2 linked regions of the Lonchura striata genome follow. The protein of the gene in region 2 purifies or fractionates together with the protein of the main gene of each other region. This does not show direct contact. Links are inferred from orthologs where the notes say so. Each region holds a gene or a part of one and is shown on either strand. Other genes may lie near its edges.

What was found.
Region 1: the proteins of IMP3 (region 2) and UTP3 purify together in Homo sapiens (affinity purification with mass spectrometry; 3 studies listed by BioGRID and IntAct, with this or other methods). This does not show direct contact. The link is inferred for Lonchura striata from reciprocal best matches to the Homo sapiens genes IMP3 and UTP3.

The regions. Positions count from the first base shown.
Region 1 is NC_134606.1:72,541,324-72,547,565, forward strand, and holds UTP3 (something about silencing protein 10), read left to right. Parts: upstream 1-4,064; 5' UTR 4,065-4,071; coding exon 4,072-5,655; 3' UTR 5,656-5,718; downstream 5,719-6,242. Other genes in the region: JCHAIN (immunoglobulin J chain), read right to left, coding at 14-77. UniProt on the Homo sapiens protein: Essential for gene silencing: has a role in the structure of silenced chromatin. Plays a role in the developing brain. Part of the small subunit (SSU) processome, first precursor of the small eukaryotic ribosomal subunit.
Region 2 is NC_134605.1:108,077,524-108,085,005, reverse strand, and holds IMP3 (U3 small nucleolar ribonucleoprotein IMP3), read left to right. Parts: upstream 1-4,755; coding exon 4,756-5,313; 3' UTR 5,314-6,967; downstream 6,968-7,482. Other genes in the region: PLA2G7 (platelet-activating factor acetylhydrolase), read right to left, coding at 267-335, 958-1,051, 1,614-1,764, 3,834-3,952, 4,132-4,525. UniProt on the Homo sapiens protein: Component of the 60-80S U3 small nucleolar ribonucleoprotein (U3 snoRNP). Required for the early cleavages during pre-18S ribosomal RNA processing. Part of the small subunit (SSU) processome, first precursor of the small eukaryotic ribosomal subunit.

The DNA of each region.
Region 1 (6,242 bases), on a different chromosome or scaffold from region 2:
ATTCCTCACCTACCTGCCACAAGGATGATCCCCAAGGAGATGGCCAAGGCAACACACAGAGTCCAAGTGCTCTTCATCTTGCCTTCCCTTCTTTTGAAGAATGAGTGGAGAGCCTGACTCTGCCTATAAGGGTGTGTGCAAATTGGTTTCCTAAAATAAACAGCCAAGCCAACACTGGAAAATGTGGCTGGGGACTGAAACCAGGTGTGGTAATGCACCAAGACCTCTGGCTTTCGGAGGGGAAGGGAGCAGGGGGTTGCACTTTGATTGTGCTTTTTTCTGTTCTTCACCAACAGGCAACAGAGCTGCTGAGTACAAGGATATCTTGCCATCAGGGCTGGTGGGAGGTAAGAAAGTCCAAGAGTCACAGCTGTGGCACCTAATTTTGAGAAATCAGACTTTAAAATCCCTTGAGTCCTATACCACTTCAGGTTTAAAAATCAAAATCCTGTTTGGACAGCTGTCTGCAAACCTGAATTAAGGGTTGGACCTGACCCAGAGAGCCTGCAGTCAAAGCAGGAAAGGTGACAGGGCAGGGGTGAAAGAGGTACAGCCACTGCAGCTCTGCTCACTGCATTGAGGAGTTGGTCTTCTTGTGAATGGAAGAGGAACTCCATGGGATTTGTGGTTTACGAGAGGCCCTGAACCAGGTGCCAAGAGAACCCTGGGGTGTTGGGCATGCAGATTTTCCTGGAGGAGAGTGGCACTGGAGAGAGCCTGGGATTTTTTTTTTTTTTTTTGGTCCCAGATTTGGGATCATTTATGTAACTTCTGAAGAGCAAATGTTGCCTTTAATGGCCAGAGCTGTCTCTGTAGCATTTCCATGTGTCTTGTACAGAAAAAGGCACTTTTTCAGGGAAACCCAAGCTTAGCAAGGACCTGGTTGCTCTTGCTGGGCTTCTTCAAGAGGCTGAACTCTTTTGACAATGCTCCCAAGCATCCTGGCTACTGTGACCTTGCAGGATGTCTCCCTTTTCTAGACCCTGCTGGCTGAGTCCCTAAGGCCAGAACTGTTCCAAGTCCCTGGTTGTGTGCCCTGAGCTTTTTCCTCAAGCACAAAGCCCTCACCCTGCAGCTGCATGATGCAAGGAGCTTTCAGGTTACATCAGCAGTGCTCATGTGCAAGGGGAGCTTGGGACTTGGCAGGGGATGATGGGGGGTCACAGCTAACTCCTTGCAGGGCATTGGGTTCTTCCACAGTTCTTTACAAACCTTGTGCTCTCGTTAGGGATCTGTCTGTAGCAAAGCAAAGATGTGGGGTTGTTTCCTTTCTCCATCCCAGAAGGCATTGCTAACAGTTTTATGCAGCCCTCTCTCTGAGACAGGGGCAAGATGTTCCCTTGTGCCCCATTTTTGGCAGGAAGTAAAAAATTCACCTGGCTCACCAGTGCTGGTAGGGATGGCTGTCTAAAGTACTGTTTGTTTGATCACCCTTTTTTGTAAGAATTTTGCTAGAATTATACAAGAACGGAGGATGCCAGCACCAGGATAGACAACAAGCAAGGCAGGCTGGTGCTGATCTGTTTTGCCCAGCTGCAATAACAAAAAATATGGCACTGGGAACATGCAAGGAGAATATTTTCAAATGTCAGGGCAGAGACTGAGCAGAATTCTAGCTGTGTCTTTCTGTTCACTTTGGTGGTTTTCCTTTGCTGTTGGTGCTCAGCATATCTGGATTTCAGTTGCTAAATCTACACGTGTGTGTGCAGTCCCTTGGTGTGGATATGATGACATGAGAGCTATTTTCAGTCCCTTCAGCCACCTGCATGTCTCTGGGGATTTCTTGCTAGATCTTGAGAGGAAGATTTATGTTCTGTACTGTTATTTTTATGGATTACTGCTGTTTTACTGGATGACTTCTGGAATTTTATCTGGGCGAGCAGGCATTTGGCAATGGGCTGCATTGGGAGCTGGACTCCCAGCCTCCCTGCAGGGCAGAGGCTAGAGGTGGAATAACTGAGAATTGGAAAAGAAATGGGAACCAGCCCTGTGGTTTCAGTCTCAATTCACATAGCCTGTGCTTCCTGCTGCCCTCAGACATGCAGAACCAGGATTTTCCAGCTAAGAAGCTGGGCAGGTGCCTGAGTGAAGTGGGGTGAAATTGTTGTTGCTGTGCTGGGAGAGTTGGACAGCACCAAGGCACAGGACCTCTCTCTCCACACAACACACCATCCATGAGCAGTCTGCCCTGTGCTTCTCCTTGCTCCTCCTTTCTCACTTGGAAGCCAACAGAATGGTGCATCTAAACAGACCAGCAGCAGTTCCTGATTGTTGTCTTGGTAGCAGTGGTTCCATGATGTTTACAGCAAACTGGTTTGGCTTTAGCAGCTCCTGGTTGACTGGATCAACTAACTCATGCTGGAGATCATCTCCAGCTTCACCAGAAGTGGCTGATGCTTTCACTAAGTCCTGGAAAAGGTTTGAATAGACACAGATTGTTTCCTGCTCTTGGAAATTAACTTTGGGAGACATGTAAATTCCATTTAAGTCCAAGTGGAAGTTAGTATGCCAATTTTTCAAAGGGCAGACTTGATTAGGACACTTAAGATGGAAACTCTCAAACTCTCAAGGTCAGGGACATGAGAAAGGCCTGGGTTTCTCTAAGTCACAGCTGCAAAAGTTACCTGGAATTTTAGGCTGGCAGGATCTGGCTGCAGATGTCTCTGCATGGATTCACACAAAAAGCCAGCAGGACTGAGCAGTCACCTGATGAGGCTATTCCTTGTCCCCAAAGACAGTTGTATTTAGTGGTCAAGTATCAAGTGAAGCTTTACACCAAAGTATAGCCAACAAATGTAGTGGATGCTGTTTCCAGACCCAAGTTACTCTTGTTGCTCTTTCTTCTACAGGCCTGTATCCAGCAAGGTGATGGCTGAAAACTGGCAGGGACTGATTTGGAAAAGTGGTCTGAGGCAAAAACTGTGTTTGTGCAAGGAAACTTTGATCCAGAGGTGACTATGTGAAGAGGCTGAGTGTCTCAAAGTCAAAACTGAGACCTGTTTGCCAACAGATTGATCAGGATCCAAATGAATCACCAAAAAGTGAGTAAAGCACCCCACTCTGTTTCAGCTAATTTGAATATCTGTCTGACCTGGGTTTTTTTCTACAAAAGGGTGGACAGGAGCATTTATAAATACACCTGCACCTGTTCTGTGGTGAGAGAAAAGCCCCTGTACTTGTACACGGAACTGCTCTTGCTGGGAAGTGTGCATGCCTGATTTACCAGGCTCTGGGTTTCTCAGCTTGGACTGCACTAACTCCTGTGTCTCATTACTTTGTTCTTGTGGCAGGGCTGCCTGCAGCTCATACAAGCAGATTGCTTCCCTGTGTCTCAGTATTAATGTCATTTTCCCTTGGGAAGGGTGGGAGGCTGGGCTGGTGCTCTGCCATGGCTGACAGACACACAAAAACACAAAGATGACAATGCAGAGGCGTATAAATACAGACTGCATTAAAAGCCCTCCTAGGGAAGGGTCTCCAGGTGTTGAAATATAAGAATTGCTCCTTTTCTGGGCCGCACGGGATAGAGTCACGAGTGCAGAGGTGATGAAGCAGCAGCTGCCGAGCTGTGCAGCCTGAAGCTGCCTGTATCCCTGTAGAAGTGCGATTCGGTGACGGGAGAGGTCATGTGTAAACCTCGGAGGTGTCCGCGGAGCTTTGAAAATACTTCTTCTTTCCGAGTTTGATCCGGTCGTAGGGAACTGAATACCAAGTTTTGGTTACAAGGGCACAGGTGTCAGGTGTGTTTTTTTCCTCGTTGCCGTAAGATGACCGCACAGACAACAGCTGTACTGGTTGGACTTCCAGAGGAAGAAAACCCCGAGGAGGAAACAAAAGGATTGTTGTTGTTTGTTTGTTTTTTCTTCTTTTTTTCCACGTGGCATCACAGCTCGAAACGGCGCCGCCCCGCGGGCTGCCCGGGGCGCTCCCCCTTGTCCCCGGGGCGCTCCCCCCGTGTCCCCGGGGCGCTCCCCCGTGTCCCCGGGGCGTGCCCGCGCTCCGGGGCTGGACAGGAAGGGCCCGGAGCGAGCGGAAGGGACGCAGCGGAAGGGGAAGCGCGGCGGCGGAGCCATGCGGACCCGGCGCGGCACCGTCCTGCGGCCGCGGGCCGAGCCCCCCGAGCCCGCCGATGACCCCGCCGAGGTGCCCGGCGGCCGCGCCGGCCCCGAGGAGCTGGCGGACGATGTGGAGCGCTTCCACGAGGAGCAGTTCCGCGCCGTGATGGCCGCCCTGGACAGCGGCGACGAGGCCGGGGACGAAGAGGAGGAGGAGGAGGAGGTGCTGGGTCTGCAGCTGCCCGAGGACAGCGAGGAGGAGGAGGAGGATGAGGAGGAAGAGACGGAGGAGCGGAATCCTTTTGTGGAGTACAGCGCAGAGGAGGATGATGGAGAAGATGAAGAAGGTGAGGAAGATGAGAATGATGTTGAGGATGGAGAAGAGGAAGGAGGTGAGGAAGATGAAAATGACGTTGAGGATGAAGAGGGGGTCCTGTCCATGGAAAGTGACTTGGAGGAGCGCCATCCCGAAGCCAAGCTCCCCCATGAGCTCTCCTGGGGCCAGCGCAAGCAGCTCTACTATGACACGGACTATGGGAGTGATGCCCAGGCCAAAGGCAAGCGGAGCCAGCAAGAAATCGATGCTGAGGAGGAGGAAGAGGAGCAGGAGGCTCAAGTCATCCAGAGACGGTTGGTGCGGGATTTGGGGGAGGATGATTATGGTTTGGACATGATCCAGGGCTACCTGGCTAAGCAGCAGAAAGGCCACGATAGCAAGGGGCAGAAAATTGATAAGGATCTGCAGGCCCTTTCCAAGAAGGAGCAGCTGAAGCTGCTGAAGCAGGAGTCCCCAGAACTCCTGCAGCTGATGGAGGACTTTGAGGTGAAGCTCATGGAGATCAAGGATGAGCTGCACCCACTGCTGCAAATGGTCAGAGATGGCACTATCCCCCAGGGGAAGGGCAGTCGCTATTTGCAGACCAAGTATCATCTCTACCTGAACTACTGTGCCAATATCAGTTTCTATCTGGTTCTCAAGTCCAAGAGGATGCCAGTTCATAGTCACCCGGTCATTGAACGGCTGGTGGAGTACAGAAATATCATCAATGACCTCTCTGTCATAGACCAAAAGCTTTCCCCACAGGTTCGTATGCTTCTGAGGAACTACTATGACAAAAAGGAAGAGAAGCTACAGAAGGAAAACAAATTTTCGGTTTTTCTCACAATGAACGGCACCAAAAAGAAACCTAAACGTGCCTCTGTGCCTGTTAAGGGCCAGGCTGCTGCTGCTGAGTCGTCAGATGAGTCAGAGCTGGATGAGGAAGCGGCCCTAAAATACTACAAAATGTTTGAGGAGAAGCTGGCACTCAAGAGGAAGAGAACTGGAGATGAAGATGTGCTTGAAGAAGCAGCGGTGTCAGAAGGAGAGGATCCCAATAAAAAGAGAGGGGTTACCTATCAGATGATCAAGAACAAAGGCCTCACGCCCAAGAGGAGGAAGATCGACCGCAACCCCCGGGTCAAGCATCGGGAGAAATTCCGGCGAGCCAAAATCCGCCGCAAGGGCCAGGTCCGCGAGGTGCGGAGGGAGCTGCACAGATATGCCGGGGAACTCTCTGGCATTCGGGCTGGGGTTAAGAAAAGCAGGAAGCTTAAGTGAAAGTCATCTTTTTGTAAGAGCTGCAAGTAGCAGTACTGAGTCCAATAAAAATTTTATACACGGTGTTGTGGGGTTTGTTCTTAAGGAAGGTGGGTGGTATTTGGTTTTTCAGAGGGGGCTCGCTAGAAGGTGCCATCTCCAAGCGGCACAGGGGCCCTTTGCACACCTTACCCATATCTGAAGGTTTTTTCCTCTGTTGTGATGCTGTTGTGTTTCCCTAAACAGGAAGCCTTGAGAGTTTGCAGGGAAAGTATCAGGCAAAAGGAATTAAATGGGACTGGTGGGGAGATGAGGTTGGATGGATGGACCTCTTGAGGGTGGGTTGGGAAAGGGGTTCAGCAGCTGCCACTGGCCTACTCTTGTTTTGCTTCTAGTCCTGGTCCATCCTGTTCCTGTGTTGAGCTGCACAGACTTGGTTAGTAGTAGTTAATTTTTGTTCTGATTAACACCTTTGTTAGCGCTTAAAAAGTATGGGTATTTCTTTTAAATTACTTAGTCTCACGTGGTCTGAAATACTGTTTCCCTTCCTGAATTCAGTGAGAAGAAAAACAAGGACTTGTCTAGATTTTATAACCATATATATGATA
Region 2 (7,482 bases):
CTATATTCTTCACCTACTTTATATTCTAACAGTGAGACAAATAGCATATCTGAAGAATGACAAATGATATCTACCCCAAGACTTTTCATTCTGGGGCTTATCTAAACAAAAATCCCTTTGGAGGAGTGTTGAGCTATGGGCAGTGTGGGCAGGGCTGTAAAAGAGATGTTAGTTTTTCTTTTTTAAAAAATCCAGAAGTTCTTCTTTAGAATAAATAACACTCTGTTCAACATGTGAAAGAACTCCAAAATGTGCAGCACACTCACCTGTGTTCCACAGCAGCCACTATAAAGCCCTGAGAAGCCATCTCTATGCAAATAGCAGAATAGATTGTCCTGCAATAAAAACCACACTCTGGTGAGAAGTCAGTCTTTCAATTCCTTTGCTCTTTAAATGCTGACCACACTAGGTATGCACTAGTCTCCACTCAGTATTTATTCTCTTTGAATTTGCTACCCAGCAGAGTAAGATTTCATATGCCAGGCACCAAAGCCTGTTCACAAAACCTTGGTACTCTTTTACTGTCTGTTCAGAAAGGAAAATGCCACTGATTTTTAATAAGTAGCACACACAGCACTTTGCATCTTCAAAGAGCTGTCCAAAAATCAACCAGCTGATCTTCACAACCTCCTCATGGGCTGGTAAATATCTTCACCTCCATCATACAGAGGGAAAACACAAATGGAGTTCTGAGCAACCTGGTCTAGGGGAAGGCATCCCTGCCCACAGCAGAGATTATCTTTAAAGGACCCTTCCAATGCAGGCTGTTCTATTATTCTGTGACCAACCATACACCAACCCTGCTGTTGTTTCAGTGGGAGCATAATGACACATGGAAGCAAATCTTTCAGCTCCACAAGGATCTCACCCCCCTACTGAAAATCTGTTCAGAACCACCCTTGGAGATGCTGTCTCCATAGACAACAAAAACAGTTTGTCAATAAACTGCAAAATTACCGAAAAGCTCCAAGTCCATGGGAAAAAACAAGAAGTGGGTATTTTTCTCCTGGCTTAAAAGCAGCATTTGACTTTGCAGGACAGGTCACTGAACCTAAATAAAAATGGAAGTGTACATCATTATTACTGGAATGAGAGAAAGCATTTGTTCCTGTGGGAGAGATCTACGGCTGACCACTGGTATCAGAGCAATCACCTAAAGATAAGGTTCCAAGACTCATCTTTAAAACAGAAGATAAATATGGATCTGATTCTGAAAATAATTTCTACTTGGCAGAAGATACTTCTCCTCCTCCCATCCACAGCCTGGCACAAGGTCTACATATTTGTTAAATCTTCATAGTCAGGCATTCAGATCTTGCTGATATTCAGACCCTAGGATCTCTCTTTTATATCTTTGCACATTTCCTTGTGAGATTTAAATCACAACACACAGGTACAGCTGACCTAGAGCAAACTGCCCAGACACTCCTATCCAAAGCAAGCAGAGACTGCCTGAGAACTGGGGTCACATTCAGCAGCCTCACTACACAAACCCATCCCACAAAAACACACTTCTTTACTAAAAACTCTTCTTCAGCCCTGCAGCAGTAGCACCCTGCTCATGGAGCATGGAGGTAGCAACAGGCAAGGAATAAAAACAGAATAAGTCTTACCAACATAATAATGGAAAAGCCTTTCTCCTACAACTCGGTACATATTAAGGAAGTCAGAGAGTCCCTGATAGTATTCTTTGTCTGGAATCCATCGTGCCTCTTCGATATCTGTGGCATCATATGCTGGATAATACAGGCGCAAAAAGCTTCCCTGGGATTAGGAAAAATTAAAAAAAAAAAAAAAAAAAAGGAATATTGGTATTTATTCATATATGGCAGAGAAAACGGAAGATTAAAACATTTACAGAAAAGATTTTGGTTGCAAGAATGCAGTTCAAGAGAATTATGAGAATGCCATGAGAAAATTATTATCATATACAGAATTTGATGCCAATCCTGTATCACAATCTTCTGAGCCTACAATGAATTTACAGTAACATGACATATACATCATCACAGGTGGAGATACACATCACCTTCCCTAGGTTAGCTTAGGGCTTATTAGAAATGCTTCATTTAATTAAATTATTACAAACACTCACTACCTATATGCCTGATCCAGCATCTTGCTGGATCTTTTCTCCCGTCTTCTTCACTGGGAATGGTTTGATGACGTGTTTTGTTAAGTTTTATAGGGCTGACTATTAAAGGAGTGACTGAAGATGACCTCAGAGCTGGAGCACCTCTCCGAGCATGACAGGCTGAGAGAGCTGGAGCTTTTCAGCCTGGAGAAAATAAAGGTCTCTAACGTGGCTGTAGTGATCCTGCCTAAACTGAGCAGAGGTTGTCAGCAAAGCTCTTGGGCAGCTGCACAGCAAGGGAGAACTATACATTGATTGCTCTTCCTCCTCATCAAGATGTTCACAAGTCTCTTGTGGTACATCTTTCTAAACACAACTTTGTTAGCCTATGTTTCATCTGACTCTGTTTCTTACCACCAGTTCAAATCTCCTACTGTCTGCATTCCAGGTATCCCAGGAAAGTACCCAAGCTTTCCACACTCAGAGGGACCTTCCATTCCGCCTTGTCAGTCTTTTCCTTCACAGACAGCAGCAGTATACCAATGTACACCACAAACAGACTTCCCAGCAGATGAACTGTGTGCAATTTGCATTTTTATTTCCTGGTTTGCAAGGGAATTTGCAAAACCCCACTCAAAATCACTGTCTTGCTTCAGCCGTACTTTTGGTTTAGCAACTTACAATCAGGGCCAAAATAAACATGAGCTTTGAAATAAAGCCTGATTTCTTGAACACTAATTTATCAGTTTACCAAAAGTTTGTTTAAGGAAGCTTGCTTCTATTTACTTATCAAACTTAAATCAACCTTTGACACAGAGACCATTATGGAAAAACTTTCCTCCACACTGGTAGCGGTATTACCTTGATCTCAGAACAGTCCCTGTGAACCTTCCCAATGGCTACATGATTACTAGAAGGAGGAAGAGGTTCATTACTTATGCCTGAGAGAACTACAATTGTTCATAATGCTTATGTAAAAAAAACCCACATGCAAAACTGACTGCAAAAAGAAACTCATCACTTATCTGTGCTGATGTAGAGTAAGCTCAGTAAAGGAAAACATGTGAACCATTACAAACTGATCACAAGTTCCACTACATCAGGCTACTCTGCAGAGTAAAACCACGGTATAAATACAGGTGTATTCCCTCAAGGGCAAGAGGATTTGAAATGGAAGTTCACAAGGAAGCTCATTACTTGTCTGGTTACTGTCCCTAACAGTAACTATTGTGGCTTCTTACTGTGCTAACTTCTTGCCAAACTGACATCCTGTTCATCTTCAGTGAGATAAAATCTCAAGAAGACATCTCATCTTTTACTCTGCAGCTGAAATACTGCATAGGCTAATCTCCCAACCCTGCCAAATTCAGTTGGGATCTTTCTGATGAGAACAGCCACAGAAACAGAGACTGTGTGTGGAGTCTCCGCAGGAGCCCGGCACAGGAGAGAGCAGTGGGGTGGGTGGGAAGAACCCCTTGGGTCCCAGGAGAACACAGTTTCTCTGCAGCATCTTGTGTAGGAGAGTCAGAAAGGCAAGGACATTAGAAGAGGGAGGAATTGGCCATGGGAAAGGCTTGCAGGTTACATCCATATGGTAAACACCCAGTTTACATCCTACACCAGGACAGAGAGGATCAAAAGCTCAGCTGTAAGTGTCAGCATGGAGTACACAAGCAAGACCTTCTGCTTTAAAACTGCAGCCAGTTGTTTCACTAATATTGTGGCTTAAATCCAAAGGAGAAAGAGTAGAAAGCTTTACCTCAACTGCATTTTCTGTCATCAGGTCTGTACATCCAACCGAATGTGGTCCCTTTCCTTCAGGGATCCTGTAAAACTTCTCAGTGCTGCTGGTGCTCGACATTTCCATTGGTGCCTTCACTGCCAAACACGGGGAAAAACACAAAGCAAATCAAGAGACCACCATGGCCTCTGTGACCAGACCACCCACACTGAAACAAATCCAGCACGCTGAAAATCTAGAATTAGGAAAGTCAAGATAGAGCCAATACCAAAGTCTGCTTTTGAGAAACAAAAAAATCCCGAATTGTCAATCTGACCTGTTCTACTGGGGATTTTCCTTGTTGTATCCTGAATCCCAAGGAGCAGACAACACCGTGCACTTACAGAAAAGTGGGATGAAACCTTTGCCTGGTGAGGCCGCGGCGGCACTCGGGAGATCTGCGGCGCTACGAACCGCACAGAGAGAGGATTCTGCTGCTCCTCAAGGAAAACCGGCCTGTGCATCAGGGGGAGTGGGATGTCACGGAGAAACACAACGCCGCTGCCATTTTTCCAGCAGGAATGACGAATGCCAGGCTCGGCCCCTGGCGAGACAAGGTCAGGCTGCCCGTGCCGGAGCGGGTGTCGGGACGATGTGGCCGTACCTGGGTTGACCCCTCCGCGCCGGGCTGGCCCCGGCGATGCGCAGCGCGCGGGGGGAAGCAGCCGCATCCCAAGCTGGGCTCTATTTGCCGCCTTCTCCTTGGGGAAGGAGACACGGAGCCATCCTGCTCCCGGCGCCCCGCTGCCCGGCCGGGCTCCCCCGGGGCGGGCCTGCCGAGGAAGCACCCCCGGGGCGGGGCTCGGCTGCTCCTCCCCGGAAAAGCCGCGGGACCGGCGGCCGCCCCGCCCCGGAAAGGTCCCTCTCCGGCAGCGGCGCGGCGGATCCCGGTCCCGCCAAGATGGTGCGGAAACTGAAGTACCACGAGCAGAAGCTGCTGCGGCGGCTGGACCTGGTGAACTGGGAGGCGTCGGGCGGGAACTTGGCGGAGGTGCGGGCGCTGCGGCGGTACCGGGTGGGCCGGCGGGAGGACTACGTGCAGTACAAGGCGCTGGCCCGCGCCGTGCGCGCCCTGGCCCGGCGGCTCCGCGACCTGGGCCCGGCCAGCGCCGCCTTCCGCGCCCGCTGCGCCGCCGCGCTGCTGGAGAAGCTGCACGGGCTGGGGCTGGTGAACAGCCGGCAGTCGCTGGCCGTCTGCGAGAGCCTCTCGGCCGCCGCCTTCTGCCGCCGGCGCCTGCCCTGCCTGCTGGTGAAGCTGCGCATGGCGCAGAACCTGCGCCACGCCGTCACCTTCGTGGAGCAGGGGCACGTCCGCGTGGGGCCCGAGGTGGTGACGGACCCCGCGCTCCTCGTGCCCCGCGCTGTCGAGGACTTCATCACCTGGGTGGACGCGTCGCGCCTGCGGCAGAAGGTGCTCGACTACAACCAGGAGCGCGACGACTTCGACCTGGCCGCCTAGGGCTGCTGCCCTGCCTCACGGGACACGCACACCCATAAGATCACGGCGGTGCCACCACGGGATATGCACACAAAAGGAAACTGTGTTTCCAGGGTCGTATTGACCTGCTGCTGGTTCCCTTTTGCAGCTAATGGTTCCATTCATCCATGCATTAGGAACTACCTTTACACATCCACTGCTTTGAGAATGCATCCAGTGGCCCAGCTCCATCATCGTCCCTGGCATTCCTAGTTTCACTGTCAGCCCAGCAGCTCAGCTCCATCATCATCCTCAACGTGCCCAGCTCCATCATCGTTCCTGGCATGCTGTCCTTGTTTAGGGAAAATTTTCCTTCTCTCTTGCTTCACTCTCAGATCTAGTTTTAAAGGTGCAGAACTTATTTCTGGGCTAAAGAGACAGATGGGGGTACCAGCATGATAAAGTCACCTCAGGACACATGCTCAGCTCCATCATCATCCCCAGCCCAGCTCCCTCATCCTTAAAAGTGCATCTCCATCATCCTTTGGAATGTGCTTGGAAAAGTTGCTGCCCAGTTGCAGGAGAGGATTTAGGTCAGGCTTACGTGCTTGGCAGCTTAATAGCAGCTGCTGGAAGGGGTTTTAACCCAAGCCAAGTGTCTGTTTTAAGACTGAATTTAGCTGCTTCGCTGCTCTTTTTCCAAGAGGTTGTCCTGGTTTCTCCTTCAGCTGTTGAATGCACAGAAATCAGTTACTTCTGGAAGGGTTATCTCTTTATATCAAGGAATAAGGAGGGAATGTGGGGATTTCTGGGGGTCAGCAGTAAACAAGAAGGCCAAATACCCGGTTTCTGAAACTGTTGAAAGTTTTAGCCAAAAAACGGAATTAAAAACAAAACAAAAAACTTTATTGTCATGTGAAGTTGTAAAGGGAAGTTTGATGCTTTGAGTTGTGTCTTTCTTGTGTGGGGTTCCAGATGAGTACTAGACATAATTTATGGACCAGGATCTAACTGGGGAGCTGTTGGAGCAGAAGCTGATCTAACCATAACTGCAGATTTGGGGGAACTTTTGCATTTAGCATATTAGCCAGGGGCCATTGGAAATTTGTTCCCTTTTGATAAAAAAAGCAGAAGAAAATAAAACTCTTGGATTGTTTAGTTTGTGAAGAAATGTGTGGACTGCTTTATGATATAACTTATCTGAGTTTATTCTGATTTTTAAGCCCTGTTTGCCACCTTTCTGAACTTTTTAAAAGTTTTTATGTAACTTACTTAAGTCTGGTTTTGTTTTATTTTATTAGCTAGAAGGCTATTACTGAGTTGTAACATGTTTATCCTAGGAATGCTCTCTTTTCCTTACCTGGGGCTATGAAAGGATTTGGCAGTAGGTTTAGGAGCAGAGCTGTGACTGTCCATCCCAAATCCAAAGAGCCGGAGTGCAGCTACTGTCAAAGCTCTGGATGTGGATGCCTTTGTGGCTTTTTTGAACAAAAAAAGTTCCGGTGAGATTTATTTTGGAAGTATTGCATGCCCACAATCTGTCACCAAATATTATGTCATGTTTTTATAGGGCAAACAGAATATTTACATTTCTTCCCAATCTCATAAGCCAGCTGTATTAAGCAGAACAATTACTAAAGCAATAATAGATATTAAGAAAAGGACACTTAACAGGTGGATAAACTGTTTGCCTACTGCTGCTGTTTATGCTTCAGTTTATTTCAGTAATCATACCTCAACAACATCTTAACCTTTTTCTTAGAGTGTGCATCTTGCTTATGGTAAGAAATGCAAATTGAAAAAAAGTTTCACACCTTTTAAACACCTTCCCAGCTTCCCTTTCCTCTAGATCAATGCCATTATTTCTTGGGAAAATTAGAAGGTGCTTTATTCAGGTGCAGGTTAAAATAGTGCTTCTGCTGTGCTTTACTCTTTTGGGGGAATTTAATTAACAGCACAGTGACTGTGCAGGGCATTTTACTACTGAGATGCTAAACTCCCACTCTACCCAGTGTGTCCAACCCTTGGAGGAAGTGCAGAAAAGGAAATAAACCTCCAGCCTGTCAGCCTCTGCAGTTTACATCATCAGCCCATTCCTTTTGTATGAAACAACTTTTTATCATTCATCTGTGCACCTTCAGTGTGCTGCCACACCTTCAGCATCTGTAGCAGAAGAGAAATAACCCTGTAGACTGTTAAGCAGTGGGAATT